7 linked regions of the Ovis aries genome follow. The protein of the gene in region 5 interacts with the protein of the main gene of each other region in a pairwise test. Links are inferred from orthologs where the notes say so. Each region holds a gene or a part of one and is shown on either strand. Other genes may lie near its edges.

What was found.
Region 1: the proteins of BIRC2 (region 5) and TSGA10 interact in binary tests that used the Homo sapiens proteins (3 or more experiments, as listed by UniProt). The two-hybrid records come from large-scale screens. The link is inferred for Ovis aries from reciprocal best matches to the Homo sapiens genes BIRC2 and TSGA10.
Region 2: the proteins of BIRC2 (region 5) and HSP90B1 come close enough for resonance energy transfer, tested with the Homo sapiens proteins (2 studies listed by BioGRID). The link is inferred for Ovis aries from reciprocal best matches to the Homo sapiens genes BIRC2 and HSP90B1.
Region 3: the proteins of BIRC2 (region 5) and GCC1 interact in binary tests that used the Homo sapiens proteins (3 or more experiments, as listed by UniProt). The two-hybrid records come from large-scale screens. The link is inferred for Ovis aries from reciprocal best matches to the Homo sapiens genes BIRC2 and GCC1.
Region 4: the proteins of BIRC2 (region 5) and NMB interact in binary tests that used the Homo sapiens proteins (3 or more experiments, as listed by UniProt). The two-hybrid records come from large-scale screens. The link is inferred for Ovis aries from reciprocal best matches to the Homo sapiens genes BIRC2 and NMB.
Region 6: the proteins of BIRC2 (region 5) and PPM1K interact in binary tests that used the Homo sapiens proteins (3 or more experiments, as listed by UniProt). The two-hybrid records come from large-scale screens. The link is inferred for Ovis aries from reciprocal best matches to the Homo sapiens genes BIRC2 and PPM1K.
Region 7: the proteins of BIRC2 (region 5) and EXOSC5 interact in binary tests that used the Homo sapiens proteins (3 or more experiments, as listed by UniProt). The two-hybrid records come from large-scale screens. The link is inferred for Ovis aries from reciprocal best matches to the Homo sapiens genes BIRC2 and EXOSC5.

Annotation. Positions count from the first base shown.
Region 1 is NC_056056.1:102,212,781-102,216,704, reverse strand, and holds part of TSGA10 (testis-specific gene 10 protein), read right to left. Parts: intron 3,578-3,924; coding exon 3,512-3,577; intron 2,424-3,511; coding exon 2,256-2,423; intron 1,602-2,255; coding exon 1,446-1,601; intron 1-1,445. UniProt on the Homo sapiens protein: Plays a role in spermatogenesis. When overexpressed, prevents nuclear localization of HIF1A.
Region 2 is NC_056056.1:173,219,205-173,223,128, reverse strand, and holds part of HSP90B1 (endoplasmin), read right to left. Parts: intron 3,763-3,924; coding exon 3,625-3,762; intron 3,536-3,624; coding exon 3,458-3,535; intron 3,326-3,457; coding exon 3,260-3,325; intron 2,959-3,259; coding exon 2,689-2,958; intron 2,422-2,688; coding exon 2,176-2,421; intron 1,679-2,175; coding exon 1,542-1,678; intron 214-1,541; coding exon 135-213; intron 48-134; coding exon 1-47.
Region 3 is NC_056057.1:93,527,374-93,531,935, reverse strand, and holds the start of GCC1 (GRIP and coiled-coil domain-containing protein 1), read left to right. Parts: upstream 1-1,375; 5' UTR 1,376-1,797; coding exon 1,798-2,829; intron 2,830-3,910; coding exon 3,911-4,562. UniProt on the Homo sapiens protein: Probably involved in maintaining Golgi structure.
Region 4 is NC_056071.1:21,629,020-21,633,560, reverse strand, and holds the start of NMB (neuromedin-B), read left to right. Parts: upstream 1-1,559; 5' UTR 1,560-1,608; coding exon 1,609-1,765; intron 1,766-2,396; coding exon 2,397-2,569; intron 2,570-4,366; exon of another isoform or gene 4,367-4,448; intron 4,449-4,541. UniProt on the Homo sapiens protein: Stimulates smooth muscle contraction. Induces sighing by acting directly on the pre-Botzinger complex, a cluster of several thousand neurons in the ventrolateral medulla responsible for inspiration during respiratory activity.
Region 5 is NC_056068.1:6,039,763-6,043,686, forward strand, and holds part of BIRC2 (baculoviral IAP repeat-containing protein 2), read right to left. Parts: 5' UTR 3,869-3,924; coding exon 2,968-3,868; intron 2,875-2,967; coding exon 2,775-2,874; intron 1-2,774. UniProt on the Homo sapiens protein: Multi-functional protein which regulates not only caspases and apoptosis, but also modulates inflammatory signaling and immunity, mitogenic kinase signaling, and cell proliferation, as well as cell invasion and metastasis.
Region 6 is NC_056059.1:37,114,313-37,118,999, reverse strand, and holds the start of PPM1K (protein phosphatase 1K, mitochondrial), read right to left. Parts: upstream 3,047-4,687; 5' UTR 2,978-3,046; coding exon 2,926-2,977; intron 1-2,925. UniProt on the Homo sapiens protein: Serine/threonine-protein phosphatase component of macronutrients metabolism.
Region 7 is NC_056067.1:50,092,849-50,097,453, reverse strand, and holds the start of EXOSC5 (exosome complex component RRP46), read left to right. Parts: upstream 1-1,514; 5' UTR 1,515-1,515; coding exon 1,516-1,849; intron 1,850-4,605. Other genes in the region: BCKDHA (2-oxoisovalerate dehydrogenase subunit alpha, mitochondrial), read right to left, coding at 1,096-1,203. UniProt on the Homo sapiens protein: Non-catalytic component of the RNA exosome complex which has 3'->5' exoribonuclease activity and participates in a multitude of cellular RNA processing and degradation events.

The sequences.
Region 1 (3,924 bases), on a different chromosome or scaffold from region 5:
GACATGAGTTTGAACAGACTCAGGGAGATAGTGAAGCACAGGGGAGCCTGGCATGCTGCAGTCCATGGGGCTGCAAAAAGTTAGACACAACTGAGCGACTGAATAACAGGAACAAACTCGTTCTCTTGTTTGTATCTACTGGGGCTGTGGCACTACAACAACAGAGCTGAATAGCTGTGTCAGAGGTCACATAGCCTGCAAGGCCCAGGCTGCTTTTTACCTGGGCCTTCACAGAAAGTTTGAAAACTTCTGTTCTAGTCCAATCCACCTCTCTAGCCTTGGCTCCCACCTCACTCCATGGACATACACCTTTTGTTCTAGTCATAAATGGATTCATTCACATACTGTTTTTCCTGCCTTTACCCTTTGTTTTAGGTCATTCCTTTAGTTTGAATGTTCCTTCTTACCCCTTTCAAGATAAGAGAAACCCCATCTTTCCTTCAGGACTTAAACTCCATATAGTCCAGCAAAGATCTTAATTGCCATAACTAAAAAATACCTATCTCTTCTATTTCTTATAATATCTTCTAGACTACTTATGCTAAAATAACAAAAAATAGATACAACACAATATACTTCTCTTCCTACCTAGAATGTAAACATAGGAAACAGTGTCTTATTCTTTCTATCTTTTAGAGTAACAAGCCCAGAACCTTACACTTAGTAGTTGCAATTCTTAATAAAATTTGATATTTTTGAAAAAATTATGTTGGTGATACATGGGGTTTAACTGAGTAAAGAAGCTATTCGTTTAATAAGGGTTGTACAATCGTAAGCTAAAAATACACATAAACAACAAATTGATTTTACTCTCTGAAATTAGACAAATTTTATGGCAATTCCTAAAGTGATTGACAGTATACCACAAGCTATGTGTTAATATTTTTTAACCTCCAAATCCAAATCTTTTCACCATGAACTCACTGTATCCGGTTACTTTTCTCATTTCTTATTCCAAAAATTAGGCTATTTCTATGCATGTATATCATCTTTCTAGGATAAGAGGACAACACGTGTGTGTACACATACACAAATACTTCATATTTCATTAAGAACATCATAAGAACAAAGGTAATTCCCAAATGTTAGATTAATTTGATTAATAGATTTAAGTATTCTCACAGAACTTAAAGAATTTACCCATCTCTAGGAATTAAATGCTGGCTTCCCAGGTGGTCTGAATGGTAAAGAACCCACCTGCCAATGCAGGAGACATAAGAGACATGGGTTCGATCCCTGGGTCAGGAAGATCCCCTGGAGGAGGGAATAGCAACCCAGTCCAGTATTCTTGCTTGGAGAATCCCATGGACAGAGGAGACTAGCAGGCTACTGTCCACAGGGTCACAAAGAGTTGGACACAACTGAAGTGACTGAGCACGCACAAACACGCACGCAGAACTGAATGCTAGTACTTACATATCTTGTTTACGTATAAGTAAGCTTACCTGCTCATACAGAAGAAAGGTCTTGTCTCTCTCGGATGTGAGAACCTTGACATTGCCCTGAATTTCTGCCAAATGACGCTCATATTTTTCCAGCATGCATTTGAGTTCTTCACGGTCTCTTGTTGTCTTCAGAAGCTCTACATCACAGTTTGTACCCTATAATTATTACATGAGAAATCTGAATACAAGGTCCTTCCGTATACCACAGGTAAACTACATTCAATATCCTATGATAAGCCATAATGAAAAAAAAAACGAAAAGCAAAATATGTATGTATAACTGAGTTACTTTGCTGTACAGACTGAAATTAAACACAACATTGTAAATCAACTATACTTCAGTAAAATTTTTTTTTAAATGTGAAATTCTTCTTTGATATGTGTTATTAATATAGTCCATGGGGTTGCAAGGAGTTGGACACAACTGAGCAACTAACACACACACACACACACACACACACACTAATAGAAATGTCCTACTGATGGCAGCACACAATTTCTGGTTAAGCAAACATGATTATATAATGAAATAATGAAAAAAAAATTTAAAAATCACTTCTCTTTTAAACAACATCATCCCAAATTGCTCCACATTTGTCTGATTACCCTCCAACCACTACTAATGCTCGGGATAAAGGACCAATTTTGATGGTCCATGGTGCCACCAAAGAAAGCTCCATCTCCCATTTTCCTTGAGATACCAATTCATGCCAAATTAAAAGGAATTATTTCCAGATTAGGTGAATCAAAAATAAAATCCACTGCTTCAGCAACAAATTCCAAAACATTTACAAGTTTCCAAAAACCTACCCGAGAAGATGGAGATGGGCGTCGTGGGCTTTTAGATCTACTTCTGATCATCTTTCTCAAATTTTGAGCTTCACTCTTGTAGTAATCTCTGTCTGCTTCTAAAGTTTTGACAAAGGAATCAAGTCTGGAAGGAGATTTATTTTGTGCTTTTTCAGTCTCTAAAATTATCTTGCCAAGGAGGAAAAAATTAGGCCATTATTTCAAGCTAAACTATATTATCATTTTCTAAATGAAAGTTGAAAGCAAACAGGATCCTTAAAAATAATAAATTTGGTATTTTGAAATAATTCAAAAAATAATAATTCAGCAATACTTTCTAAAAAGCAGTTAGAAAAAAATTAAAAGCATTTAGATGCCTTTCTTTTCCAGGATTTCTGAATGTACTGTATTTTTATTTCACTGAAAATGTCCCTATGTTGACACAATAATTTTGAAGAAAAAATTTCAGAGGCCAGAATTGTTTCTTATAAGAGATCTAGTTATAAGTTCTAGAAATAAAATTAATTTGCTAAGAGAAACTTGTATGCTACTATTAAAGCATCTATTTATAGTTTCAAGTTTTATTCAATAACTGTTCAACAAATAAATTAATTAAATGTTGGATTAATTTAATAAATTTACTGAACAAAATAAACCGAATAAATTAAATGAATGCAGGATATTCTATGTTTGTATATACTTTCGTGCATTTCCATTCACTTTAATATATTTAGAAGCATCTGTTTTACAACATTTATTTAACAATACTTTATTGGGATAAAAGTACAGACATACTTTTAGAGAGGGTGTTTCAAATATTTTAAGCGACAACATTAAAATGCCTAAACAGAGCGACTTTCGTTTCACATTGTTAAAGAGAACATATTACTCAGAACTAAGTAACAACATTTGACTTTAAAATATTTATTATTAAGAGAGATGAGAGTTAATGTGTAAACAAATACAGCTTACATTTTGAGAATTAAATTACTCACAGACATCATTTTAATCAAGTAACAGCTAAGGACATTAATAAAACCAAGCAAAAGTTCTCTCCAGCTCTAAGAAAGGACAGACTAAGGAAAGGGAGCAAGAACAGATTCGTTCTTACAGATGGGAGGACCCTTGTCCACCACGGAGAGTGCTGATTTTAGAAACAAAACACTTCTTATTTTTCACAAATTACATGAGAGCCAAAACATATGTATAATTTTTTGCAGTCCTACGAACAGAATGAAAGTGATTCCTTAACATTTATTTATGAAAAATGTACTTACAGATCCAAGCCTTTTTACTGTATCTTCCAATACTATTATATTATTTTGCTGGCAAATGAGTTCAATCTGAAAAGCCGGAAAAAAATGCTATTTAGGTGGAAAATGTCTAAATTGATTTGTTGGAAAGAGAGCATCAGAAACAGAAGTCACTTAAAAACATGCAGACAGTAAATATTTTATGAGAGAAAAGATAATTTATTCCTTTATATTTACCTACTTTTGATGGTAAAAGAACCTAGAATGAAATGAAGCAGTTCCTTTAATGTTTTGTACAAAATACTAATTGATTTCATTTTGTCAAACTACTCCTCATAAACTGAAAGAAAATGTTAATACTAATTATAATTCTGAAGAAGAGAATAAGGAAGTCAAAAGAATGACTAGAATGAAGTTAAGTTTTCCCAAGTCAGAAA
Region 2 (3,924 bases), on a different chromosome or scaffold from region 5:
AACAAAACTACAGCAAGATCCAAAACAGTTTTGTCATCTTCATCTTCCTGAAATGAAAGGAGTCACACACTTTATTAATACTAAAGGGTCAAAAGAAGTCAAATTAAAAGGAGTAAGGCCGTGATATTGCTCACCTTAACTCTTCGAAGCATGTCTCTAATCAGTGGGTGTCTGGGGTTAATTTCAAATGTTTTCTTCTGGCTGGCATAATAACTGTTACAGAGTAAAAATGAACGTTAATATATCAAATTTGAGGGTCCATACATTTCCCATATTCTAGTATAACATATAATTACAGATAACTTTTTAAAAATCAAGACATGCTTATATATTGTTAAATCACGCTTTCCCTTTTAAAGGGCAATGTACATGGTTAGATCAAATAGTACAATAAAGAACTACTTTATTTCCTAATGAATCCCAAGTGCCTTTTGATGAGTGGATGAACTGATTTAATGTCCTGTTCTTCCCCTCTTAATGTATTCACTATCATAACTGCAGCTGTGTCTCCCCAGAGTTCTGGAACAGAACAGGCTCTGGGTGCTGCTCAAGTAACACCTTCTCCATGATGCCTCAACCAATATGGTTCCAAGAAAAATGGCATCTTTTCACTAAGCTTGGCGGCAATACATTTTGGGTGTACCTTCATCATTGTTAGCATCCTAGCTGTCCTCCGTGACTGCCCTCCTTCCTACAGCTGCAGGCTGAGGACAGAAGGAACCCTTCTCCCTATATCTTGGCATACCTATCATACACACAGGACTTACAGAATTATGCCTTGATTTCTCTATCCTGACTAGTCTGAACATTGCAAAAGAGAGTAGTGATGTTTACTGTAGAGCATCAGTAAATAGACACATTAGGTGCTCAAATGTTTATTAGATAGAATTATGACAATGTAACCTACACTTAGGAGAAGAATCCTTAAGCTATGCTTGGGGGAAAAAAGTGACAATAGGTAGGTAGTAAGAAGATAGTCCAGGTTGAAGAGAGAATAAAAGCAAGGAAGAAGTCATTTTCAAAACTATTGTTGTTATGTTCAAATATAAACCTGAAATACATATTTCTTAAAAATAAAGGGTACCAAAGACCTAGTGTACCTCCAGTACTTGGTCCTTGAGTTCAATTGCTGTTTGTGCATCTTCTACCCTGTATTTAGTGGAGAATACTACTTGGGGGTAGAAGGGGTAATTAAAAAGGATTTAACTCATTTAAGAAATGTAACTGTCATTAACTTCATCTTTAACTATTATTTGAAAATGTAAAGGCAGTCCAGATACTAGGCCAAGCAGAAAATCTAATGCTGAAAGACATTATATGTAACAGATAAGAAAATTTCCATCTATATACAAAATACTAAATATAAACCACAAGTGCAAAACCTTTTCTTTAGTAATCTAATCATATTGTCAGCTTCTCTATAATGGAGGGTGGTAGACACTTAAAACCCATTAGTTCTTTGTGTAGAAGCTGTGTTATCTTCTAATGGGAGGCTGGGCGAGAGCTTACATCCTGGCAGGGCCTTCCCTGAGGATGCTTACTTGGTTGAGATGTCCTTGCCTGTCTGGTATGCCTGGGCTTTCATGATCCTTTCCATGTTGCCAGACCACCCATACTGGCTGGCTACCAGAGCACATGGAGATTCTGTCAGGCGCTGAGACACCACAGCCTTCTCGATCTTTGGAGGAGAAAGAGAAAGTTAGTTATCTCTAAATATCAACAGTAAAGGTTGTCAAGTAATTGCATTTCAATTCCTTAAGGACTCATCACTTAAAATCACAAACAAGCAGATCAGAAAAGTACCTCTCATTCAGATTCTTAGGAAAACTATCATTTCATAACTGAATTTCTTAGTCACAAATACTTAAACACAAACTTTCAAAAACATATACAACTTAAGTTTAACCTGTAAAATTTTAAGCTATTGTAAAAACAATATTAAATTATGAAAAACTTTCAGTTACAAAGGAAAAAAAAGTTACCTACATACAGAATAATCACATATCCCTGTAATTGTTCAGTTAAATTTTAAGCTTGTCCTCCCAATAATGTAACAGTATTAAGTGTTCTGTATAACTTTTAATGACCACAAAAGTAACCAGTTACAAAGTTTAATTTGCTAACAAAACAATACACAGACGCTAAAATTTTCAGTGTTTCTAATTTCTAGAATACCTTGTCCTTGAGGGCTTTATCTTTCATCCAGTTTAGCAGAGGCTCAAATTCTTTCTCAACTGCTTCACGACTCTCCTTACTTTTCTCACTTTCATCAAACTTCACTCCTTCTTTGGCAACATTCTGGAACCTCTTCCCATCGAATTCGGGAAGAGCCTGAATGCAGTATTCATCCACAGGTTCTGTGAGATAAATCACTTCATAGCCCTTTTTCAGAAGTCGCTCAACAAAGGGAGAAGATTCGGCCTACAAAATTGAAAGAAATAACACAAATTTCCAGTTTGGGCTTAGTATGTTTTCTTCATCCAAGTAGGTACGTTAATAGAGTACCAACAATCCCGTTTTATGGGTGGGGAATTAAGAGATGCAGAGAATACAAATGACTTTTTTCCTGTCAGTGACTGACCAGGTCTCAGAACTCTTTCAGTTTACAAATTTTCCTTTTTTTCTCTCTCAAGAGTTGGCTATAAATCAATCCCTAGCTACATAGCAGACCAGTCGAAGTTTTCTCACCTCTTTCCTGCTGGCCCCAGCCATGAAGTAGATTTTGTCCTGCTTCTCCTTCATTCTTTCCACATACTGGTCTAGACTAGTCATGTCACTTGGATGATGAGAAGATTGGAATCTAAGAAGTTTGGCAAGACGTGTTCGATTTGAGTGATCTTCTATCACACCAAGCTTGATGTTGGTACCAAATTCTTTCCAAAAAGTATCATTGTATTTTTCATCAGCAATCTTTTTGATCATGTCCAGAGTTTTACGGACAAGCTTCTTTCTAATCACCTAAACAAAACGATAGAATAACTCATTAGAGAACTTCACCACAAACTTTAGAGAACCTATACTATATAAGGTAGCAGGGGAGTAGTGGAGAAAGATACAAAGACACTGGTATTTATCAAGGGGGCAGGGGATGGCCAAGTATTCCTGTGTCAGACTGAATGGAAACTTAAGTTGTCAGTGGCAGCAGTTACAAGATTGCTTTCATGTTTATATTCTAACTTTAGACCAGATGGTACATATATATGGGTGCTCACTGGACACTTTTTCAACTTCTATGTCTGAACATTTTTAAGGCACTCACCTTAAGCAGTTTATGTTGCTGAAGAGTCTCACGGGAAACATTCAAGGGGAGATCATCCGAGTCCACCTGCAGACAGCAAAAGTTCAGTGGGCAATACAAACATCAGAGAAAAACAAAATCAACCAACCGACCAAAAAAACCCCACTTTCAGACCCCCACTCTACTCCCCTCTTCCCCGAATAACCTCCAGATACTTACAACACCCTTGACAAAATTCAGGTATTTGGGCATCATATCATGGAAATCGTCTGTGATGAATACTCGGCGCACATACAGCTAAAGTGGAGACCAAAAAAACCAAAGGTCACTTTCTGGAAATCATGCTTCCAAATTTTAAACTCAGTTTGTACTATTTAAAAATTCACCTTAATGTAATCGCTCTTCTTGGATCCATATTCATCAAACAGACCACGTGGGGCAGATGTGGGTACGAATAAAATTGACTTGAAGGTAACTTCTCCTTCAGCAGTAAAGTGGATATATGCCATGGGGTCATCGCTTTCCTAGAAAGTTGGTATCTTGGTCATTCAAAAGGCACAAGGAAAAGGCAGTGCAAAGTCTAAGCAACATAGGGTGTGGAACACGTGCAGTTTAACAGTCAACTAACAAAAAAGTTCCTTTACCAAAAAAGTGAAGGGGAGAGGAAGGCAAAGAGGGAAGAAGAA
Region 3 (4,562 bases), on a different chromosome or scaffold from region 5:
TCTTATAACCAAAGGTAAAATCCAAATACCTTAATTTGGGTGCTCATCTATTGTGTCAGCAGTATCTGTTGCCAGCCCCTTTGCATACCCTAAGCTACTGCCTTGAAATGATTCTCAATGCTTCCCAGGTGAGACAAACTCTCTGATGCTCCAGAGTCCTTGCAAGTTTTCCCTCTGCCTAGAATGTTGTTTTGGAGAGGGCAATGGCACATCACTCTGGTACTCTTGCCTGGAAAATCCCATGGACGGAGGAGCCTGGTGGGCTGCAGTCCATGGGGTCGCCAAGAGTCAGACACGACTGAACGACTTCACTTTCACTTTTCACTTTCATGCACTGGAGAAGGAAATGGCAGCCCACTCCAGTGTTCTTGCCTGGAGAATCCCAGAGACGGGGGAGCCTGGTGGGCTGCCGTCTATGGGTCGCACAGAGTCGGACACGACTGAAGTGACTTAGCAGCAGTTAGCAGAATGTTGTTTCCCTCATTTCTAGTTAGATGGACAATCAGTACTTACTCTTCAAATTCCAACTCATTTCCCCTGAAAGCCTGCGCTGTTTCCCTTAGACAGGGCTCCCTCCTCTTAACTTCAGTATCACTTTGAATATACTTGTGTTTGCATGGCTGCTGCTTCTCTAGATGTGGGCTCCTTGAGGGTAGGAGCTTGTCCTTTCCTGGTGATCACCTGGCATAGCACTTGGTATGTTGAGAATCAGACCGATCTACATGGGATTCTAAACCCAAGGCTATGTGACCTTGGTGTATTACTTAACTTCTCTGTGCCTCACGTTGCACTATCTGTAAAATAGTGCTAATGATGCTCAGCAGATTAATTATAAAGACTAAATAGCAAAACTCTTGTGAAGCTTCTGAAATATAGGTGGCACTTAGAATGGACATGATGCCTATATATATTTATTTATATATATTTGTTAAATGAACCCAGCAGAACTCAGGAAAGGTGTAATAATAATTATACACCGTCTAGGTGTCAAATACTGTCCTAGAAAGGGTTGTCATCTTTGTGGTCTAAATGGTAGTCTTAACTGTTGCTCTTTAAGGACAACGGTACTGAGCACCCAAACAGTGGGGCCTGTCATTTACCCGAGTCTTTGGTAAGGGCTCATTACAATGTCGCCCCCGTCCCTCGCTGATCTTAGCGCTAGAGCAAGATCAGGCGCCTTCAGCAAACCAACATGACTCCGGTGTACTCGACTCTGCTTGCTCTGCTGTGGTGGAGAGGAACCAGCACTCGGCCGGAGAGTGACCAGTTCTCAGCCCTGCTGGGTTCTCTTCCCACCAGCCGGCTGAGGTAGCCCCGCCCACCTCGCGCCCACTGGGGGCGGGGCTCAATACGTCGCGCTCTCGTCACTTCCAGCAGACCCGGAAGCGCCGTTGTCCCAGCCGCTAGAGTTAGGAAGTCGGGATGGAGCTACGCTCATCTTAAACCTTTGGCCTGTAGTGCGCCGGGGCCGGGCCGGTGCTGCTGTGGCTGGGTGAGCGGGGAGCGCGGAGCGGCTTCTGGGGCAGTGCGGGCGAGCCCTGGCAGTGTGCCCTTCTTGTGCCAGCGTCGCCCCGCCTCTAGGATAGGACCCGCCCCCGCCCTCCTGTCTGGGACCTGGCAAGCGTTTCTGCCCTGCTGCCCCGCCGCCCTGCATCCGGTCTCAAACAGCTGCTTGGAGCGGATGTGCGGCAGAGGGGGACAGCTATCTCCCCGTCGCATACAACCCCTGCTAGCATCTTCGTGACGCTCTCCCAGCCTGTCCAAACCCTGGCCTGGAGCAACCCGTCCTGAACCCTCATGGAGAAGTTTGGAATGAATTTCGGGGGCGGCCCAAGCAAGAAGGACCTGCTGGAGACCATTGAGACTCAGAAGAAGCAGCTCCTCCAGTACCAAACTCGTCTCAAGGATGTAGTCCTTGCCTATAAAAGTCTGCTGAAGGAGAAAGAGGCGCTGGAGGCCAGCATTAAGGTACTGTCTGTATCCCACGAGGCGGATGTAGGCCTCGCAGGTGTGCAGCCTCAAGGCCTCACCTTTCCTGACTCTGTGGATGACCGATGCTCCACTCACAGCGAGGATAGCACAGGGACCGCCGCCAGCCTGGATACTGCGGCCAGTATCACCAGCACCAAGGGTGAGTTTGGGGTAGAAGATGACAGACTGGCCCGTGGACCACCTCCTCCAAAGTTGGAAGAGGCCAGCGGGTCAGAGAGTGGCGTTAGCAGTAGTAGTGGGGACGGACCATCTGGGGGTGGGGAGGTGGACAAACGACTGCACCAGCTGAAGACTCAGTTGGCTACTTTGACCAGCTCTTTGGCTACAGTCACCCAGGAGAAGTCCCGCATGGAAGCTTCTTACCTGGCGGACAAAAAGAAGATGAAGCAGGACTTAGAGGATGCCAGTAAGAAAGCAGAGGAGGAGAGGGGCCGGCTGGAGGGAGAACTGAAGGGGCTGCAGGAACAGATAGCAGAAACCAAAGCCCGGCTTATCACGCAGCAACATGATCGGGCCCAAGAGCAGAGCGACCATGCCTTGATGCTGCGTGAGCTCCAGAAACTGCTGCAGGAGGAGAGGGCCCAGCGCCAGGACTTGGAGCTTCGGTTGGAAGAGACTCGGGAAGCTCTGGCCGGGCGGGCCTATGCAGCCGGTCAGATGGAAGGGTTTGAACTGCAGACCAAGCAACTGACCCGTGAGGTGGAAGAGCTGAAAGGTGAGCTTCAGGCTCTTCGAGATGAGAAGAATCAGCCTGACCCCCGGCTGAAGGAGCTTCAAGAAGAGGCTGCCTGCCTCAAGAGCCATTTCCAGGCTCAGTTGCAGCAGGAAATGAGAAAGGTAATTATCTTCATCTCTTTCAAACATGAGTCATTTAACTTAAAGTGGCTTCTCAGGTGGCTCAGTGGTAAAGAATCCATCTGCCAATGGAAGAGATTCTGGAGATATGGGTTTGATCCCTGGGTCAGGAAGATCCCCTGGAGTAGGAAGTTGCAACCCACTCCAGTATTCTTGCCTGGAAAACCACATAGACAGAGGAGCCTGGTAGGCTACAGTCCATAAGGAAGTAAAGAGTCAGACACGAGTCAGCACACACCACTTGTGACACATGGGGAAATATTAGTGTTTTTTTTTTTTTTCTCCTTTGACAGAACTAAGTGCCTGCACTGTTGGTTTTTTATGCGCTTCGAAAAGTTTCACTTGTGGGTCCTGAGAAATCCTTTTCTGTGTGGTGTTGACAGTATCCACAGAGTGCTTCCAACAGGATGTGGAGTTTCTGAGTGTAGTCTGAAGTTGGAGCTAGACAGATCTGAGTGTCAGGGCATGGCATCTTCCCAGCTGTGCTCTGTGAAGCAGTGTAGCAGCGGCTGTGCAGTGGAAGGTGGAGTGGGGGCTTATGGCAGTATGCCTATCTATGGGTAGCAGTGGATGCCTGTAGGTAGGGTGGCTGGAGGGGACAAAGGGAATTTTCATAGAAGAAATCACCTCTTCTATTGCTTGCAGTCAATATTTGCCATGTCTGGAAAGATAGGCTATTTTCCAGTGCCTCCTTTCAGCGTGGGGAGAGATCCAAGCCAACTCTGAACTTCCAGGAATGTTGGAAGAGGAAAAGAATGTAATATGGTGAACAGCACACTTACACGTGAGCTTGGTGTATGGGTGGAGAGAGTAGAAACACTAAAGCAGAACAGTAGCAGATCTCCAAAGACTCTTAATATCATTGGGTATAATGTGTGTCTGAGAGCAAGTTACAGGAGCTTGGGTTAGCTCCCAAACTCAGAAAGCTTCCCAGTTCCCATTTTTTTCCAGGCCACCTGCATCCCATAACCTTTTTGTCCTCCCTCTCTTGCTTTCTTAAAGTTGACCCTCCGACCCTGTGGCTTTTCTGGATGCATCTCCACCTGTTCCCTTGTTTTTTCAGACAGCCCTCGCTGAGGATCAGCTGCGCCAGCAGTCTCAGTTGGAAGAGCAGAGGGTGGCGGCCCTGGAGAATCAAATATCCCAGGTGTCGGAATTGCTGGGCACCTACGAGAAAGCCAAGCAGAAGGACCAGCTGGCCATCCAGAAGCTGAAGGAGCGCATTCTGCAGCTGGACCTGGAGAACAAAACCCTGGCTCTAGCGGCCTCCAGCCGGTCCCCCCTGGACAGCCATGGAGAGGAGTCCAGTCTGGATGTCAACGTCCTGAAGGACAAGATGGAGAAGCTGAAGAGGCTGCTGCAGGTGGCGGCCAGGAAGAGCCAGGTGACCCTGGATGTGGAGAAGCTCTGCGACCTGGAGATAATGCCCAGCTCCGAGGCTGCTGATGGGGAGAAGGCCACAGCGCTCTACTACCAGCAGGAGCTGAAACAGCTGAAGGAGGAATTTGAGAGGTACAAGATGCGGGCCCAGGTGGTCCTTAAGAGCAAGAACGTCAAAGACGGGAACCTCGGCAAGGAGCTGGAGGAAGCCCGGGAGCAGCTGGCCGAGCTGAAGGAGAAGTACATCTCGCTGCGGCTGTCCTGCGAGGAGCTGGAGCGCCAGCACCAGCAGGAGGCTGAGGGCTGGAAGCAGGAGCTGGCCCGGCTGCAGCACG
Region 4 (4,541 bases), on a different chromosome or scaffold from region 5:
CTATAAAATGAGGAGAGAGAAGCCTGCCAAATAAGATTCCTTCAAGCCTCTGAGTGAGGCAGCACTCAGTGCCGCCTCCTAACTTCTGTGACCGAGGACTAGAGAAGACAGGAGGGATGTGTGATGCAAGCGGTGGGGGGGGGGGGGGGGAGTGAAAAGGGACGATTATAACGGGAAGGTGATGCGAGCTATATCTGTACACTATGGCTGAAGCAGTGACAAGAATACAGAGAGGTGTAAATGCCAGGGTGGGAGATGAGAAGCAGGGAGAGTGGGAAGAAAGCCTGGGCCCAAAACGGAGTGTCCTTGTCCTGCCTGTCATGCTTTCTGGGATCTCAGCATGACAGTCAGCTTCTTGTACACACTTTCCCTTCTAAGATGGTGATCCACAGAGCCTTGCTGAGCTAGATATGGCAAGAGTAATAATAGCAGGTACCGTTATTGAGCCAGTCTGGGGAGTAGGTTCTCTCACAGCCACACTGTGCAGTGTTTCTGAGAAGAGTCCAGAGCCCAGGGGTTGGTTGGTAACCTGCGCCTCCGTCATTAACTGCTTTTGTACTCTGTCTCTCCAATGAGATGGTCAGCTATGGTGGAAGCAGATTGTTGTCTTTTGTCTCCCCTCCTGTCCTTAGCATGGTGCTCTGAATGTTGGTGTTTGGTAAACATTTAAGGAAAAATAAATGTATTATTCTGGAGCACAGCCTCTTCTGTTCATTAAGTGTTGCCACTGACCTAAATGTTCTTTCCAAGACAAGCATGGACGGCTCCTTGAGAGTGCTGACTTTGAGAGTCCTGTAGGACTGCTGCTTCCTGCCACAAAATAATTGGGCTAAAAAGATGTAAAATTATTAAATATAGGGCACTGGGGTTATTCCCATTTGACAGTTGAAGGTGAGGGTCAGAGAGATCACACCGCTTGTATATGGACTCCGGGTCCAGTGCTCCTTTCATTCCCCTGACTCGCCTCCTGGCCGACTGAGAGGCCAGGCTCTCACCATTTGAGGTGGGTTGAGGAGGGCTCCCCTTGCATCCTTCTGCGCTCCCATCCGGAGCATGTGCTGTGATTTCTGCTTGACCTGGTGAGTGCTGGCCGGCAGCGAGGGCATAAAGATAGCTGGGTGAGCAGGTCAGATGCTCCAAGAGGGAGGGGCCGACTGGCAAGCTCCTCTGGTGCCCGGCACTTTGCTGGGCACAGTTAAGGCCTATGTTACCCGGGAAGGAGGCATCCTCGCCCCCTTTTTCTACCCTGAAGCCGTCCTTCAGCCGAAAGCTGTTGGGAGTGGCGAGGAGGGCCAGGGGAGCCGGCTTTTCCCCCATCCTCAGCTTGAAGTTGGTGGGCTTGGGCCCGGACACCCCGAGGACGCCATGCCCACGTCGGGGCAGGAGGGCGGGCGTGGGGGGGGGGGTCGAGGGGGTCCCCGGCCCTGGCCCCAGCGGACTTGAGAGTCCGAGAGGGCGGGGCCGGGGCGGCAGCGAGCGCGCCGGGGGCGGGCTTCTCGGGGCGGGCTCCGCCCCCAGCGGCGCGGGTTTAAAAGGAGGGAAGGCACGCGCCGGGGACTGGAGCCAGCGCAAAGTGCACCTGAACCGAGGCGTCGCCCGTGCCCAGCCATGACCCTGCGGGCGAGGGGTGCTCGGCTGCTCGGCGGCCTCCTGCTCTTTGCTCTGCTCGCGGCCGGCGCCGCCCCGCTCGGCTGGGATCTCCCGGAGCCCCGCAGCCGGGCCAGCAAGATCCGAGTGCACCCGCGGGGCAACCTCTGGGCCACCGGTGAGTCTTCTGGGTTCCGGCGAGCGCTCCCCGCCCCTCCCACCTTCCTTCTCTGGCCTCTCCTAAACAGGGACACTAGTGTCCAGGCTAGTGGGGACCCTGGAACTCATCTAGTAAGATGGGGGAACTTGAGACCCAGACCCAGTGACTTGGTTTAAATCTTTCACTCAGCCGGTTTAAAGCAGAGCTGAGGCTGGACCCTAGAGCTACCTGCCAGCCTGTTTCTCTTCCCTTAGACAAGACTGTACTGAATCTTCCGACCTCTAGTGTGTCTTCTCTCTGCACCTCCACCTTACAGACACCTCCTGTCCTCACTTCTTTCTCTGCTGTTTCCCGTCTCTCTCCTAAGCAGACAGCACAACTGGCAGAGTTTCTTCCTGGCCCTTGGGGCCTCCCACCGCCCCTTCCAGCTGTGCCATCCCCGCCACCCACCTCTACCTGCTCCGGAAAAGCTGAGGTGCAGGTTTTGCCACCACTGGGGGTTCTTTGTGGTTTCTGGTGACCAGGAGGAGAAAGACTGTGTGTATATCTTCCTGCAAGGAGAACTGAGAAGCAGGAGAGATGGGGACTTGCCCACTGGGATAGCATCCTTGCTCCCTGACTTCCCTGTGCCTTGGCACTTCCTTTCTAGGTCACTTCATGGGCAAGAAGAGCCTGGAGCCCCCCAGCCCATCCCTACTGGGGACAGCTCCCCACACCTCCCTGAGGGACCAGATACCACAGCTGAGTCATCATCTGCTCAGGGTCCTCCTGCAAAAGCAAGCTCTGGGCATGAGCCTCAGTGTCCCAGCACCTCACACCCAGGTAAGCCAGGAGAACTCAGCCAGGGCTCCCCCTGGATCCTGCGTTGGGCGTAGGGTGTGAGTGCCCAGCCAGGGCAGGAGAGGCCCAGGAAAGCCAGGGATTCTAGGCTCTCCCTGTGATCCAGAGCTCAAAGTGGGAGGATTCCAAAAAAAGGGAGCTGACCTTCTCAGCAAACCCGAAGGGACAAAAAAAGTAGGGGAAGACGTTCCTCCTTACCCACTGCCCAGTCTAAAGGTGCAGCCTGGACTTATCCAGCTTCTTCCAGCAGGACCTTCCCACCCCACCCTCACCCTCTGGTCTATGCAGACTTGCCCCTCCCCTGCTGTCCACCTTTGCTGTGCCCTGTATGTGCTTATTGGGACCCTGGTGCCCACAGAAAGGATGAAGAGAGTGAGTCAGCAGCCAGGGCCAAGTCTGGACCTCTTTCACTTTGATCAGTGCTCTTCCCAGTTTCTCATCTGCCTCAGTGACCACTGGCAGGGTTTCTCAGCCCCAGCCCTCCTGCTCTTCTGGGCGGGACAGTCCTACATTGTGGGGGCTGTTCTGTGCATTGTAGGAAGCTTAGCAGCCTCCCTCTCTGCCCACAGTTATGACGACCAACAATGCTCCCAGACACTGCCCGAGGTCCCCTGCTGAGGGGTCATGGGAGGGAGCCAAAATTACCCTTGGTTGTAAACCACTGACCTATGGGGTTTGGGCTAGGGGGGCTTCCAGGTGGCGCTGGTGGTAAAGAACCTGCCTGCCAGTGCTAGAGATGGAAGAGATGTAGGTTCGAAGGTCCCGGAGGAGGGCATGGCAACCCACTCCAGTGTTCTTGCCTGGAGAATCCCATGGACAGAGGAGCCTGGCGGGGTCCATGGGGTCCCAGAGAGTCAGATACAACTGACGTGATTGAGCACACACAGAGGGTTCAAGGCTCCAGAGCTGGAGCCAAGCCAGCCTTTGTCTCCAGCCTGGCGGAGGGGCAGCTCATCCATTCTCTGCTCCTGGCACCTCCCCATCCCACAGACCTTCCCTGGTACTTTGTTGCTCTGTGAAGAAGGTATAATAAGGTATAGTAGAATGTGGACTCTGGTGACAGCATGCTGGGCTCATAATCCAGCTACTTGGTAGCTGTGGGACCTTAGAAATGTCATGTAGCCTCTCTAAGCCTCATCTTCCTCAACCCTAAAATGGGAATAATAGTGTCCCACTTCCCTTAAATGAGACCATTTATGTCACATGCTGAGCGTGACGCCTAATGCATAGAAAACATTTAGTAAACAGAAGCTGTTACCAGTCTGTGAGCTCCCTGGCTGTGCCGGTGGCTGACTTAACTGTGTGTCTCCCACTGTGCCTAGCATATACTGTGTACATTTTGAAAGAATGGAGGGACATTCCCTAAAGAAAGTTCATCCGCAGTCCCAGTCAACCTTGACCCTCCTGATGCACAGAACCACCAGCCTGGTACTCCTCTGGCAGTCCAGTGGTTGAGACTCTTTGCTTCCCCTGCATGGGACACGAGTTTGATCCCTGGCTGGGAAGCTAAGACCTCACATGCTGCACAGCCCCTAAAGACCTCAGGCGTAAGGGCTACGTACTCAGGCTGGCTGGGTCTGAAGGAAGATGATGGCCCCTCTGGGTCCACTGATCTTGAAGGCCTGAAACTTGAAGACCAACTCTAGAATCTCAGAGGCAGCAGTACCTAGCCCTGGGGGGTGGGACTTCAGAAGTGAGGTCTAGGGCGGAGCTGGAGGTTGGGGAGTCAGAACAGTGTCTGGCCCAGGGTCAGGCCTGGTGCTTCGACTTAATTTCTAGGATCTCCGTTGACTGTCATGACCACTCTGTGAGGTTGAGGAAACCCCTGCCCTGACCCCTCCCAGGCCCTTCAGGGAGAAAGGTACTGGGTGGGGTGGGGAGGCTGCCCCTGCCGACCTCTGTGGGTGCCCTGCACTTAGGAATGGCAGGATGTCCCTATCATTTGTCCCACCCC
Region 5 (3,924 bases):
ATCTTATTCACTGTTAATATCTCCAGCATCTAAAGTAGTATTCACAAGCATATAGGGAAATAGGTGAAAGTGATTTAGATATAAAATTCAATGATAAAATAAATAAGCCATGGGGACATAATATACATACAGCAAAAACAATGTGGTTAGAAGCAATTATGACTTTGTTGTTGAAGTGTTAGTCGCTCAGTCGTGGCCGAGTCTTTGTGAACTCCATGGACTGTAGCCCGCGAGGCTCCTCTGTCCATAGAGTTCTCCAGGCAAGAATCCTGGAGTGGGCAGACATTCCCTTCTCCAGGGGATCTTCCCCACCCAGAGATCAAACCCAGGTCTCTTGCATTACAGGCAGATTCTTTACTGTCTGAGTCACAAGGGAAGCCAAAAGCAATTTTTATACTTCAAAGAAAAAAAAAAATTTTAATATGGTCAACAATATTGCAATAACTGTATAGGGGCAGATGGTTACTAGGCTTATCATGGTAACAACATTATATATGCAAACATCAAATCAGGACACAGCACACCTGAAACATATTATGTATGTTAACTGTATTTCAATTTTTAAAAAATGATATTAGAAGGGGGAAAAAAAGATCATCATGATTTTCCACTGTTACTTCTAACTACTTATTCCTAAGACTCTTGCCACCAGATAATGCTGTGACTATCATGAATTATCATGCTCAATCAACAGGATCCCAGTATTCTTACTGGTCTGCTGCAAAATCAGCCTTTATCTACCAGTTTCAACCTCATATGTAATAACAGTACCACAATTTTTGCCTTTCTCTTTAATTTGGTTCTTCTTCGTTTTGCTTTGGATTGACTTTTCATTTGATTCCACACTGTCGTGTAAATATTAGTAATTATGAAAAAGGAAATTCTTTTGAATGATTATGAATAAAAATGTTAAGAGAGAAATAACATCAGAGGGAGAGGGAGAGGGTGGGATGATTTGGGAGAATGGGAATTCTAACATGTATACTATCATGTAAGAATTGAATCGCCAGTCCATGTCTGACGTAGGGTGCAGCATGCTTGGGGCTGGTGCATGGGGATGACCCAGAGAGATGTTGTGGGGAGGAAGGTGGGAGGGGGGGTCATGTTTGGGAACGCATGTAAGAATTAAAGATTTTAAAATTAAAAAAATAAAATTAAATTAATTTTAAAAAAAGAAAAAATAATAATTTTTAAAAAAGAGAGAGAAATAACAGAAGTAAAATAGTAGCTAGTAGGCATACAAATATTTAATAAGTGAATAAATAAACTGTGTTAAAAATACAATGATAATGATTATCCACTTTGGATTTTCATTTTCTGAGATGAAAGACTATCCACAATTGAAATTTGTTGTTTTCAGAAGTGTTTACAAAAAGTACTTCTGGCCTTTTCCCTTATGTAACCATTTCAAGCAAAACACTAATTACAGAAGTAAACCAAGATTTTGTTTGGTCTTGTTTTCTAAAGGAAAAATTATAGCAAATGAAACACTGTTAATCAGAAAGCTGTTTTTGTCTTTTTAATATAGTATTAAATTCCAAATTACAGAATAAGCCAATCTCGTAGAGCCAAGGACAATCAAGTCATTTAAAATTCTGACAACTGGGAATTTCCTGGTGGTCCAGTAGTTAGGACTTGGTGTTTTCACTGCTGTTGCCCAGGTTCAATCCCTGAATAAGGACTGAGATCCCAGAAGCCACACAGAGACGCCAAAAATAAATACAATTATGACAATAAAACATGATTTTTCCTAAAAAAAAAAAATTTAGAGATTCCTCATTATTAGGAAAGTCACTCACCAGTCGAAACATTATCTATATGATATGATTCCACTCTTATAAAGTACCTAAAATAGTTGAATTCACAGAGACAGAAAGTAGAATGGTGGTTGCCAGGGGCTGGGAATATAAGGAATTAATGAAATGAATACAAGATTCAGTTTGGGAAGATAAAAAATGTTTGGAAATTGACAGTAGTAATGAATGAGGAATAAGGTGAATGTACTTAATGCCACAAAACTGTATACTTAAAAATGGATAAAATAGCAAATTTTATGTTATGTACATTTTATAATTTTTTAAAAAGACAGTATTACCTATTCCAAATTCCTCATTTTATAGATGAGGAAAGGCTCAAAGGGGTCACATGACTTGTCCAAGTTCATACAACTACTCAATAACATTCCACCCACAGCACTGCCTCTAAATTCTTTCCAGGCTATAGTAAAAAAAAAAATAGGACATACTGGTAGAAACAGAGTGACTAAAGAGAGATACATGACATATCACAAAAAGATAAAACTGTACAGAAAAAAATAATTTACAATTATAATCACTTAAAACTGATTATACAATTAGGTTTTTATTATATGCATTTTTATATTTGTCCTATTCCTAGATTCATTTAATGTCCCTTGTTTTTCTTTTTCCTTATCTTTTCCTAATGTATCGCCTTTTTGCTCTACTTTACATATTTTTATAATACTTTAAACAAAATGGAAAATACATAAATGTAATGTATGGCCACAACTGTGAATGAGGCATCAAGAATAAGTTAAATTATATCCTGAACACATGGTTTATAAAAGAAAAAAATCACAGAATATTCTACATTTTTCTACCAAAATAACTGTTACAATTTGGTGTCTTAAAAGGCTAATTCTCTAATGGTATAAAGAAGCTTTCTTATACTGAAATGTAAACTTAAAATACACAAACATGCCTACATCTTTTACACACAGAGTTGTATATACAAATACCTTTCAAAACAATTACCTTGGAAACCATTTGGCGTGTTCTACCCATGGGTCATCTCCAGATTCCCAACACCTTAAGCCACCATCACAACAAAAGCACTTGACATCATCATTGCGACCTAAAGAAAACACAAGAATAACTGAATACACACGTGTTCTAATATATTAATCAAAATGAACTAGATAAAACATACAGCTATACATTCTCTTACCTACATAATAGAAACCAGCACTTGCAAGCTGCTCGGGCTGAACTGGTACAGTAGATGGCCAGTACATAAATGTTCTCAGGCGAGCTGCATGTGTCTGCATACTCAAATTGGAAATGCTGAACCTCAGCGTTCCCAGAGAATTTTCCAAAAATGGACAGTTGGGAAAATTTCTCTGGTGTTCTAACATAGCATCATCCTTTGGTTCCCAGTTATTTAGCGTCCCACCACAGGCAAAACAGGCTACCCTGTCTCCAGGTCCTATATAATAAAAGCCAGCTCTTGTCAATTCTGACGGTGACAGAAAGGTTAATGGCCACATTTGATAAGTAAGAAATCTCGCTTCTTCAGTACTCATGGCATAACTGTAGGGGTTAGTCCTCAGTGGGGAAAAGTCTTCGACTGCTCGAGAATTAATAGGGTTTGGTGAAAGGTTGGAATAAGAACCACTGAATGATCTACCATGTTCCAAAGTGGGTGATAATGAGTGAGTAAAACTGTTTCTCATTGGAGAAGAAGCATTCTTAGAAGTGGATTCCAGACTAGTAACAGAAACTAGATTCTGAACAAAGCTACAGCTCGGATACAGTTGTTTATGCTTCTCAATAGGATTGTCTCCTTGTTTCCAGTTATCCAGCATCAGGCCACAACAGAAGCATTTGACCTTGTCATTCACACCAGTATAATAAAAACCAGCACGAGCAAGACTCCTTTCTGAGACAGGAACACCGGTGGGGAAAGTTGAATATGTAGACATTCGGTAGAGCTCACATGAAAAGTCGTATGTCATTTTTTGTTTGTTGCCACTTGTCCAATTTGACAAGACTGTGCTATCTTCCATCACACTCTTAATTTTTCGATACGAGGGATCCAGGACAAGTCTTTGGGAGGTAGTTTTGTGCATGAGTGATTTTTACTTTTTGACAGCAAAAATCCTTTACATGAAATTTTTCTTCTCTT
Region 6 (4,687 bases), on a different chromosome or scaffold from region 5:
ATTAATAACTCTGAATTAAACTTACACATCAAGAAGTTTCCTTCAGAGCTTCAAACTACCAATCAGCCGCTATTGCCACTCCCCTCCCCTAGCTCTCCAGATGCCCATGGAAATGATTAGACACTGATTAGCAGGTAGAATTTATAATGTGGGGGAAAAAAACAAAAGTCTTAAAAAAAAATCAGTGTTCTTTATAACAGAAAGAGCGGAGAACAAATTGATAAATACCTAAAAAATCTTTTATTGTCAGTTGAGGAATTAAAAATTGTCATGTGTCACATGTCATGTGTCATTGGTCATTGTGCAAGCCAAAAATAGTTATTCAGGAACACTTTATGTCAGTCTCTCAATCAGAGATCAAGTCTAGTTTATTTTCCTTTTAACAGTTATATACAATCTTTGAAAGTCAAAGTAACCCAAAAGAGTCAAAGGGCACAAGTAATTCCGCTTGAAAGCCATTTGAAGACACAAAATGTCAAAGCAAAATTTAAATGAACCAACAGCCCAAGAACACATTACGTGGCACACCATATTCTACTAGCAAAAACACTTTCCTTTTTCACATTCATTTGTTTGACCAGGCCTTCATCTTCCTCTGAATCCATGCTTTGGTTAATCTGATTAAAGTATCAGATTCTGACACAAAACTCTACTGAACAAAGTTGACTCCTGATTTAATAATATTGACTAGGAGGGGGGATTCTCAGAAAAGAGAGTTAAATGAAATAAGTTGAGAGTCCACAAGAGCAGACATTGAGATTCCACAAAAGAGTGCTGGTTAAAAAGCCACAGCCAGAGTGTAGGAAATGCATTTGGTAAACTTCTGAGGTATACACTTCGTTTAAAAATAATAGCGGTAGGAAATCCAACCAGCCCATCCTAAAGATCAGTACTGAGTGTTCATTGGAAGGACTGATGCTGAAGCTGAAACTCCAATACTTTGGCCACCTCATGCAAAGAGTTGACTCATTGGAAAAGACCCTGATGCTGGGAGCGATTGGGGGCAGGAGGAGAAGGGGACAACAGAGGATGAGATGGCTGGATGGTATCACCAACTCAATGGACATGAGTTTGGGTAAACTGGAGTTGGTGATGGACAGGGAGGCCTGGCGTGCTGCAATTCATGGGGTCGCAAAGAGTCGGACACGACTGAGTGACTGAACTGAACTGAACTGAGTGGTGAAGAAAAGCCACATATACCACTACAAGACTGCTATGCCAATTTTATACTTTCATCTTACTCCAATTTTATAATCCTGCAATGATTTAAATACCTCAGAGCTGGCTAAATGTATTTTTGGAATAGGGAGGCACTCATGGTCCCTGGCAGGAGGGTGCACTTGGGATTTGAGTTAAACTGCTCTTGACTGCTGAAAGCAGGTCAAAAGGGCAGTTTATTGATGTCATGTTAAGCACATGCCAAAATTACTCAGGAGTTCTAAGGATCAGTACTGCTCAAACCTGCTTAGGTTTATATTTCTAGCAAAAATGTTTAAGGACATATTCATATCTGCCGATTATAAAGCGGCACTCAGGTATCTTCATTATCAATAATTTCCACAATGGAAACACAGGTAATTTTAATATTCTTAAAATGTTTCTTTAATGACTCTACAAAAAAAAAAAAAAACAATTTATCCCAATAAATTCAAATATTATGGAAACCTCTGGTCTCCAGTATCCTCTTTATCAGTACCCTGCTAGGAGGAAGGGAAAGAAAATGTACTAGTCTAAATGAAGGAGAAAACAAAACCAACAAGAGAAACCCCGAATGACTCCCCTTATGTTTGACCTGAACATATGTTTAGATGTGCAAACAGAGAAAAGAACAAGGGAACAATGAAAAGTATTCATTACTCTAATCCCATAAATATTTTTAAAAACATTTCAGTTAACGTGGATACAACTCACAGAACCATGTTCCAAACCTCATTTAAGAAGAATTTTCCAGAACAACCAAGTATAAGGTGTGTATTTTTCATTTCCTCTATAGTACCTAATACAGTGTTGACATCTATACATTAAATTTTCAGTAAATTTAGTCTTTTTTTTTTTAAAAGGAGAATTTTCCTTTATATTCTATGCTACATCACTAACACCTTTCCCCTCTTCCTTCCTCTTAAGACTCCAGTCAAGTAGGTGCTTGAGTTGGTGGTCAATAGAAAGTGACTAAGGTTGCAAGGCAATGGCACCCCACTCCAGTGCTCTTGCCTGGAAAATCCCATGGATGGAGGAGCCTGGTGGGCTGCAGTCCATGGGGTCGCCAAGAGTCAGACACGACTGAGCAACTTCACTTTCACTTTTCACGTTCATGCATTGAAGAAGGAAATGGCAACCCACTCCAGTATTTCTTGCCTGGAGAATCCCAGGGACGGGGGAGCCTGGAGGGCTGCCGTCTATGGGGTAGCACAGAGTCGGACACGACTGAAGTGACTTAGCAGCAGCAGCAGCAGCAAGGTTGCAAGAAAAAAAATCTTGAAAAATTATAACTGATGTATTTTATTACACAGTGGAGTATTTTTTTTCCTAGGCTAAGACGCCACTGTTATCTTTCAAGACCATTATAATCTGTCACCTTAATTAATCATTCTGAAACGGCGGACAACCTCATTCTTTCCTCCGCACAAGCAAAGGGGATGCAAAAGACTGAAGAGGCCTTGCTGCACATTTCCAGACTGAAGCTCAGAAAGGCCGGTGGAGCTTTAGATACTCCAAATTCCCTGGCTAGTGCCACCCGGAGTCTCGCCTTTGTCATCTCCCGTGAAATCTCTAACCTACAGACAGTGGCTGCTAAAAAAAAAGTCATCAAGGGCCAGAAGGCCTTGAGATTACAGCGCTCTTTTGGCAAAGCAAAACCCACGTCCTCAGATCGACACCAACCAGGGCTCTGCATCTTTCTCTGCTCCGATCCCCTGAAAAGCTCACCCTTGGACAGTTTGGGATCCTGGGCTTGGCTGGCCGGCCGTGACAGATGCATGACCAGGGCGAAACAAGGCAGGAAGCACACCCTCAGGCGGGCGCAGCCACTGATGGCTGGGTTCCCTCCAGCACTTTCCGCCGCCCGGTCTCCGCCTCTCAACCACCCTCGCTGCGTACAGATTCCGGGTGTCGCCACGTCTCCCTCAACCCGACCCGTGCTGCAGCGGTGAGGAGGCGCTGACGCTCGCAGCATCCTCCAGCCCGCGACTCGAGGCTTCGCTGAAGGAAAGCGTGGGCTGGGAGCCCCTTCCTCCCCTCCATCAGTTCAATTCAGTCGCTCAGTCGTATCTGACTCTGCGACCCTATGGACTGCAGCACGCCAGCCGTCGTTCCTTCCAAGTTCCATTCCCTCCTTCCATCCCGGTCCAGCACATTCACGGGCAAGAGCCTCCAGCCTTCCGGCCAAGTTCAGGCGGAACGTAAAATCTCCGCAGAAAATGCCAGCAGCGGGTGGCTCAGCCGAGGTGGGCCCCGCCCCGACATGCTGCTCCAGACCTCGAGACGGAAGAAAGCTGCGCACAGCGAACCCAGACAGTGACCGCTGGGCATGCACTGAAGGGGCTGGAGAAATTAAACCGATATTTCCCCTCCTCTCCCTGGGAAATCCGTTTACTCTCCATTCCGCAGATGGGGAGCAATGGGACGTGCCCCCTCCTGTAAATAATATTATAAACGGTTAACATAAATGAAGTGCACTCTCCAAGCTCTTACCTCGTGATGGCAATATCCCTGGAAAATGTTCAATTAGCTAATGGAGGGCAGGAGAGGGGTTTTCTGTAAATAAGACTGCCTTCTCCGATGTTTTCAATCTCTGAAGCAAGCAGTTAGAACAGCCACTGGCTCAATCTGCTGGAAATTCTTGAGAATTTTTCACCCGCAGTAGGTCAGATAGAGAGGGGAAGTCTGTTCCCGCTGACTGACGGCAGCTCCAACCAACCCACGCTTCACGAGGCGGCGCGCCCGCGGCCCGGCCCTTAGTCTCAGCCAATCACAGGTTCCGACAGGACCGTGCCTCCCCGCGAGATCAGTTTGACTTGGCTGACTTTCAGTAGCTCACAGCAGAGCGACGTCGACTTGGGCCAGTCGTGGCTTATGGAGATGTCCGCCCTCTCGAAGGCCATGGCGCGCAAACCAACGAGGGAACGCCTTGGCAGTGGAAGAGAAATTTGGTACCTCGTCAGAGGACTGAAGAGAGGTGGTGTTGTGTCGCCTGGGGCAATGGAGCGGTAGTTGTAACAACTAGGAGCGAGAACGGAAAGCCAGCACTTAGCACTTTTCAGGGCAAAGGTATTGAAAGGCATCAGGTTTCATTGCTATTCTCTGAAACATTCACAGTACATCGTTCTTCCTGACTGAGCAGGCAGACATCTCATGATCCCTTTAGAATGTTTTTTGGGTTTTTTACTTTTTTTTCGGCGGCGCCCCACAGGTTGTGGGATCTTGGTTCCCTGACCAGGGATGGAACCCCTGTCGGAGAGTCCTAACCACTGAACAGCCAGGAAATTCTCATTGAGAATGTTGATTCTTTCATTTGACAAGTATAGGCATTGATATTTGTTTAGGGAGGACCTTTTGAATACCTGGCACTGGGATATAATCTTGAAGCAAATAGACATGATAGTCGCCTTCATAAAGCTGCCAGTCTACCTGAGGAGGAAGAGGGAGAAGACGAACAGGTAAACAAGCCAATAAAATAATAACAAATCAT
Region 7 (4,605 bases), on a different chromosome or scaffold from region 5:
GTCCCTTGCCCAAAGCTACAGAGCTAGAAAAAGGCAGATTACAGAACACCGCCTCACATGATTTAGCACGAGCCAATCTTCTTAACCACTACTCTGTTATATGCAAAATCTCAGTTCACAGCTTTTCTCAAGTCCCCTGCCTCTGTCTCTCTAAATAGTGGTTCCCATCTACATTTCTGCTGTGCGAGCATGCCATTAGCAGCATCAATCTAAAAGGAGTCTGCTCCTTTTGACAAGAAACAAGGCATTTCTCCACTGTTTCTCAGAAATATGGAGTAAGTGCTCTGCCAGGACCTCTCCCCTCATTAGTTCAACAAATATTCACTGATCACCTCCGCCTTAGAGTGACCAAAACCAACAAGGTCCTTGGCTACCGTTCTATACCGGAGGCACAGGCGCCACGACTTTTTATAAGTATTTTATCTTTATTTATTTGGCTGCACTGGGTCTTGCAGTTATGGCATGCAGGATTTTTAGCTGCAGCATACGAACTCTTTAACTGCCGGCACGTGGGACCTAGTTCCCTGATCAGGGATGAAACCCAGGCCCCCTGCATTGGAAGCGCGGAGTCTCAGTCACTGGACCACCAGGGAAGTCCCAGAAAGATTTTTTTTTTAACGCAGTTTATTTAAAAATCAGAATTGGAGCAAAGAAACACGGGGCACCATAAAAGTCCCTGAAAGGGCAACTGATGTCTCTCTCCTCCTCCTTGAAAGTAGACCGTATTGAGAAGAAAGTCTTTCCCTTACAAACACAATTTTCTCCAGCTCCTGAGGGGAGAGGTCACACCCTTCTCCCGTATTCTCCAAGCGGCCTCCCCTGGGGATGGGCGGCAATTAAGTAACTACCTCGCTCTCTCCAAGTTTTCTCCCTCCCTTAGGGTCACAAAGGAGCTGCCTGGCTTTTCTTCTCCTAAGGAAGTGGAAGTTATTCCCTTGCATGTCCTGTCCAAGTGGTTCTCCCAGCCCTCGTCCTTTCTCTCACAGCCCTTCCTTCACTTCCTACAGGGACCTAAGGGAACCCCCTCTCTCTGAAGACTGCATAAACATTCCTATACCTCTTTCGAGAAAACTTTCAGGTGCTCCAGGTACTCACAGATCTAGCCAGCCCACGAGCCCCAAGCAGCCGCAGGAGCGGGAGGCCCGCCCGTCCCAAGCCTCGACTTGGTCTCCAAACCCTCGCCGCCGCAGCCGCCACCGCCATCTTGGCTGACCATCCCTCGGAGATCCGCCCCTCTCCTCGGCGAGACCGGGGCTGCCCCTTCATAAGCCTGACTCAAATGCCAGCAACACCCTGCCAAGAAACCATACGCTACTAGTTCTGCAGCCTCTGGGACACACATGTAGGTGCATAAAGCCACCTAACTTCCCAAAATTACTCTGACCGCCTCACGTTAGTTATTCCTGTAACCGGCAAAGAAGAGGACAACCCGTCCAGAGCCTCAGGGTTTCAGGGCCGGGGGCCTCGGGTAGGACGAGCTCATGCCAAGGCCCGCCCACTCTTCTCTTCTGTCCAATGGCTTTCCTGGACTTTCGAGGCGGGAGTGGGAGGGTCCAGATTGTTAGTAAACGCCGAGCCACGTGCGGGCGCCACTCCTGGAGCCCCCGGGTCGGCGCGTGCGTACAGCGTACGCACCTCGTACGCAAGCGCGCGCTTCTGGGAGGAAGCAACAAGCCCCGGCTGCACGTGGGCTCCGGGGCTATGGAGGGGGCAATGCAGACTGAATCGAAGATTCGGGCTGATTCTCGGACAGAGCCCGGCCCTAGGGGCCCCGGCTGTAGCCTCCGGCACTTTGCCTGCGAACAGAACTTGTTGTCCCGGCCTGATGGCTCTGCCTCTTTCCTGCAAGGTAGGAACTACTAGGTTGTATTATTTGGTGGGGCGGGGGGCGGTTACAATGTATCGCGCTAGCTGGTAAAAATCTCTCCTGAACTAGTGCAGTTCTTGCCTGGGTGGACACTACTGTATACGCAGGTAGACATATATCTCTCCCTCCAGACTAGCAAGGAGAAGATTGTTAAAGTACGCAGAATGGGAGAGGGCAGACCGCTTCTAAAGAATGAATACTCCAGAATAGGGGAAATATTCTTACCCCGGGGTCTCCCTTGACTGGATTCCTCTCCGGTTTCCCATACACGCACCCTGGGTCCATACATCCCAGGCTGAGGCAAACCTGTTTGTTTGCATAAATACCCAGTGGACTGTCAGATCACCACTTCTGGTGTACTCCCTAGCCCGGTGGCAGATCTTTTATCCAAATAGTTACTTCTCAGATGGATGGTGATGTCCCCAGCCCCACCTCTTGGGTAAATGTCCCTTTGGCTGGGATACACAACTCTGCTTATATCCCTAAGATTGGAGCAGTTCTTACCTATTAGGGAAATATCCCCTTTTCCTAGCTAAACAACTCTGAAACTAGACTCAGTTCCCTGACGCCTCTGAGGGAAATGTTCCTCTGGAGATAGGCCTAAGGGTCACCCCCATAAATGCTTCAGACCCTGCTCTAGGGCATTACCTGAAACCCAAATACAAAACCTGCTTTCATTCATTCTTTCATTGAACATGTACCTTTGCTTAGTATTGTTCTGGACACTGAGAATAAGTAAATAAATTTTTTAAAAATCCCTGCGGTAACGGATTTGACATTCTTACATTCTAGTCAGAGAGACAGGCAAAAGATAAGTAAAATATGTAGTAGAAAACAAGAAAAATACAGTAAGGGTGTAGATTGGGGTGTGCCAGAGAGGGTTGCAGTCTTAATTAGGATGGTCAGGAAAGGCATCAACTGAGATGGTACCTTTTGAATAAACACTTAAAGATGGGACTTTCCTGGTGATCCAGTGGCTAAGACTGAGCTCCCAATGCAGAGGGCCTGGGTTCAGTCCTTGGTAAGGGAACTAGATCCCACATGGTGCAACTAAGAGTTCGCATGCCCCAACTAAAGATCCTGCGTGTTGCAGTGAAGACCCAGTACAGCCAAATAAAAAAATTTTAAAGCAGTTTCTTTCCCTAAAATTGGCTTTTTGCAGGGGGAGCAAACCCTAAACAGATCAAGAGGAAAGCTTATGAAGCATTAGGAACCACAGGGCCCTGAGGCCAAAACTTGCCTGGTGTGTTTGAGGGACAGTCAGGGGGACGGGGTGCCTGCAGCGGTGACAGGAGGTGGGGTGGCGATAAGGAGACCTGCCCCTCATATAAAGTCTAGTGACTGAGAATGGAGACTTGTGACATGCTCTGAATATATATTTTTTTTATAGATTTTAGACTTTCTGGCTGCAGTGTTGATGGCAAAGGGCACGGGGGAAAGGAGAGGAGGGTGGTGCAGACCAGAGTGGAAGCAGTACAGGTGGTGAGAGTCTGAAGGCAAACTGATAAATTGCAGCTGGTTTGGTTTGGGGGTGTGACAGGGTCAGTTTTTTACCCAGACCAGCTGTGCTGGGAGACAATGAGTTCAGTTGGGAACATTACATTTGCAAGGCCTAATAGACTCTCCCATGGCAGTGTGGATTCGGCAGTCGGACATACAAGGCTGGAATTTGGGAGTCCTTTGGCAGTTCAAGCTACTGATTGGATAGAATCAACAAGAGAATCAATATAGGTGGAGAAGAGAACTTAGAACTTAGCCCTTTGCCTTCTAGCCTGGGTGGAGCTAGGAAAAGACATAGAGAAGGAGCAACTAGTAAGGTAGGAGAAAAACCAAGAGAGGGCAGCGACCTGGAGCCCAGAGAACGTGTCTGAAATGTAAGGACCAACCGTTTTGGTCCGGCTGAGAGACTGAATCGTGAGGATGGACTAGACCTGTGGGTTGACAACCTGGTTGTCTATTGTAGGTGGTGCAGCCAAGAGTCACTCTGGGACTTCCCTGGTTAAGATTCTGAGCTCGTAGTGCAGGGGACACAGGTTCGATCCCTGGTCCAGCAAGCTTCACATGCCTTGCATCACAGCTACTTGAGCCCACACACCCTAGAGCCTGTGCTCCACCACAAGAGAAGCCAGTGCAATAAGAAACCTACATATCACAACGAAGACCCAACGCACAGCCAAAAATAATAAGTAAAATGTAAAAAAGAAAAAGCTGTTCCGGTGGAGGGGTGGAGTCGAGGAAAAGAAAGAGACAGTGAGCAGAGACCGCTCTTCAGGAACTTTGCTGTAAAAGGATAAGATAGATGGGCGAGGAGTTAGATGGATGTGGGGTCCACAGGGGAGGGAATTGCTAGAGCCATGGCCTCAGGAAGATGAGAAGAGAGGCACTCTTGTGCCCAGGTGAAGCACAGACAGTGCCTTTGGAGTAACAGGAAGGAAGACCCCGGTGTGGATCTATTTCTGCTTGGACAATTTCCTCCTCCAGGGTCCATTCTCCTGGAGCCAAGAGAGCCCCTCAGTTGTATAGCAGCTCTTCCTCGCCAGCCCCAGAACAAAAAAGCCTCTGCCAGGGACCTCTCCAGGCTTAGATCTCTTGCTCAGTGCAGGTGCCTGGAGGTTCTTAGAATTTAAGAAATACTGAGCCCCTTGTGTGTTCTAAAAAAGAAAGAAATACTGAGCCCCTTGTATGTTCTAAAACCCCAAAGCCCAGGACCCTGGAGCAGGGTCCTCTGCAAACCCTCA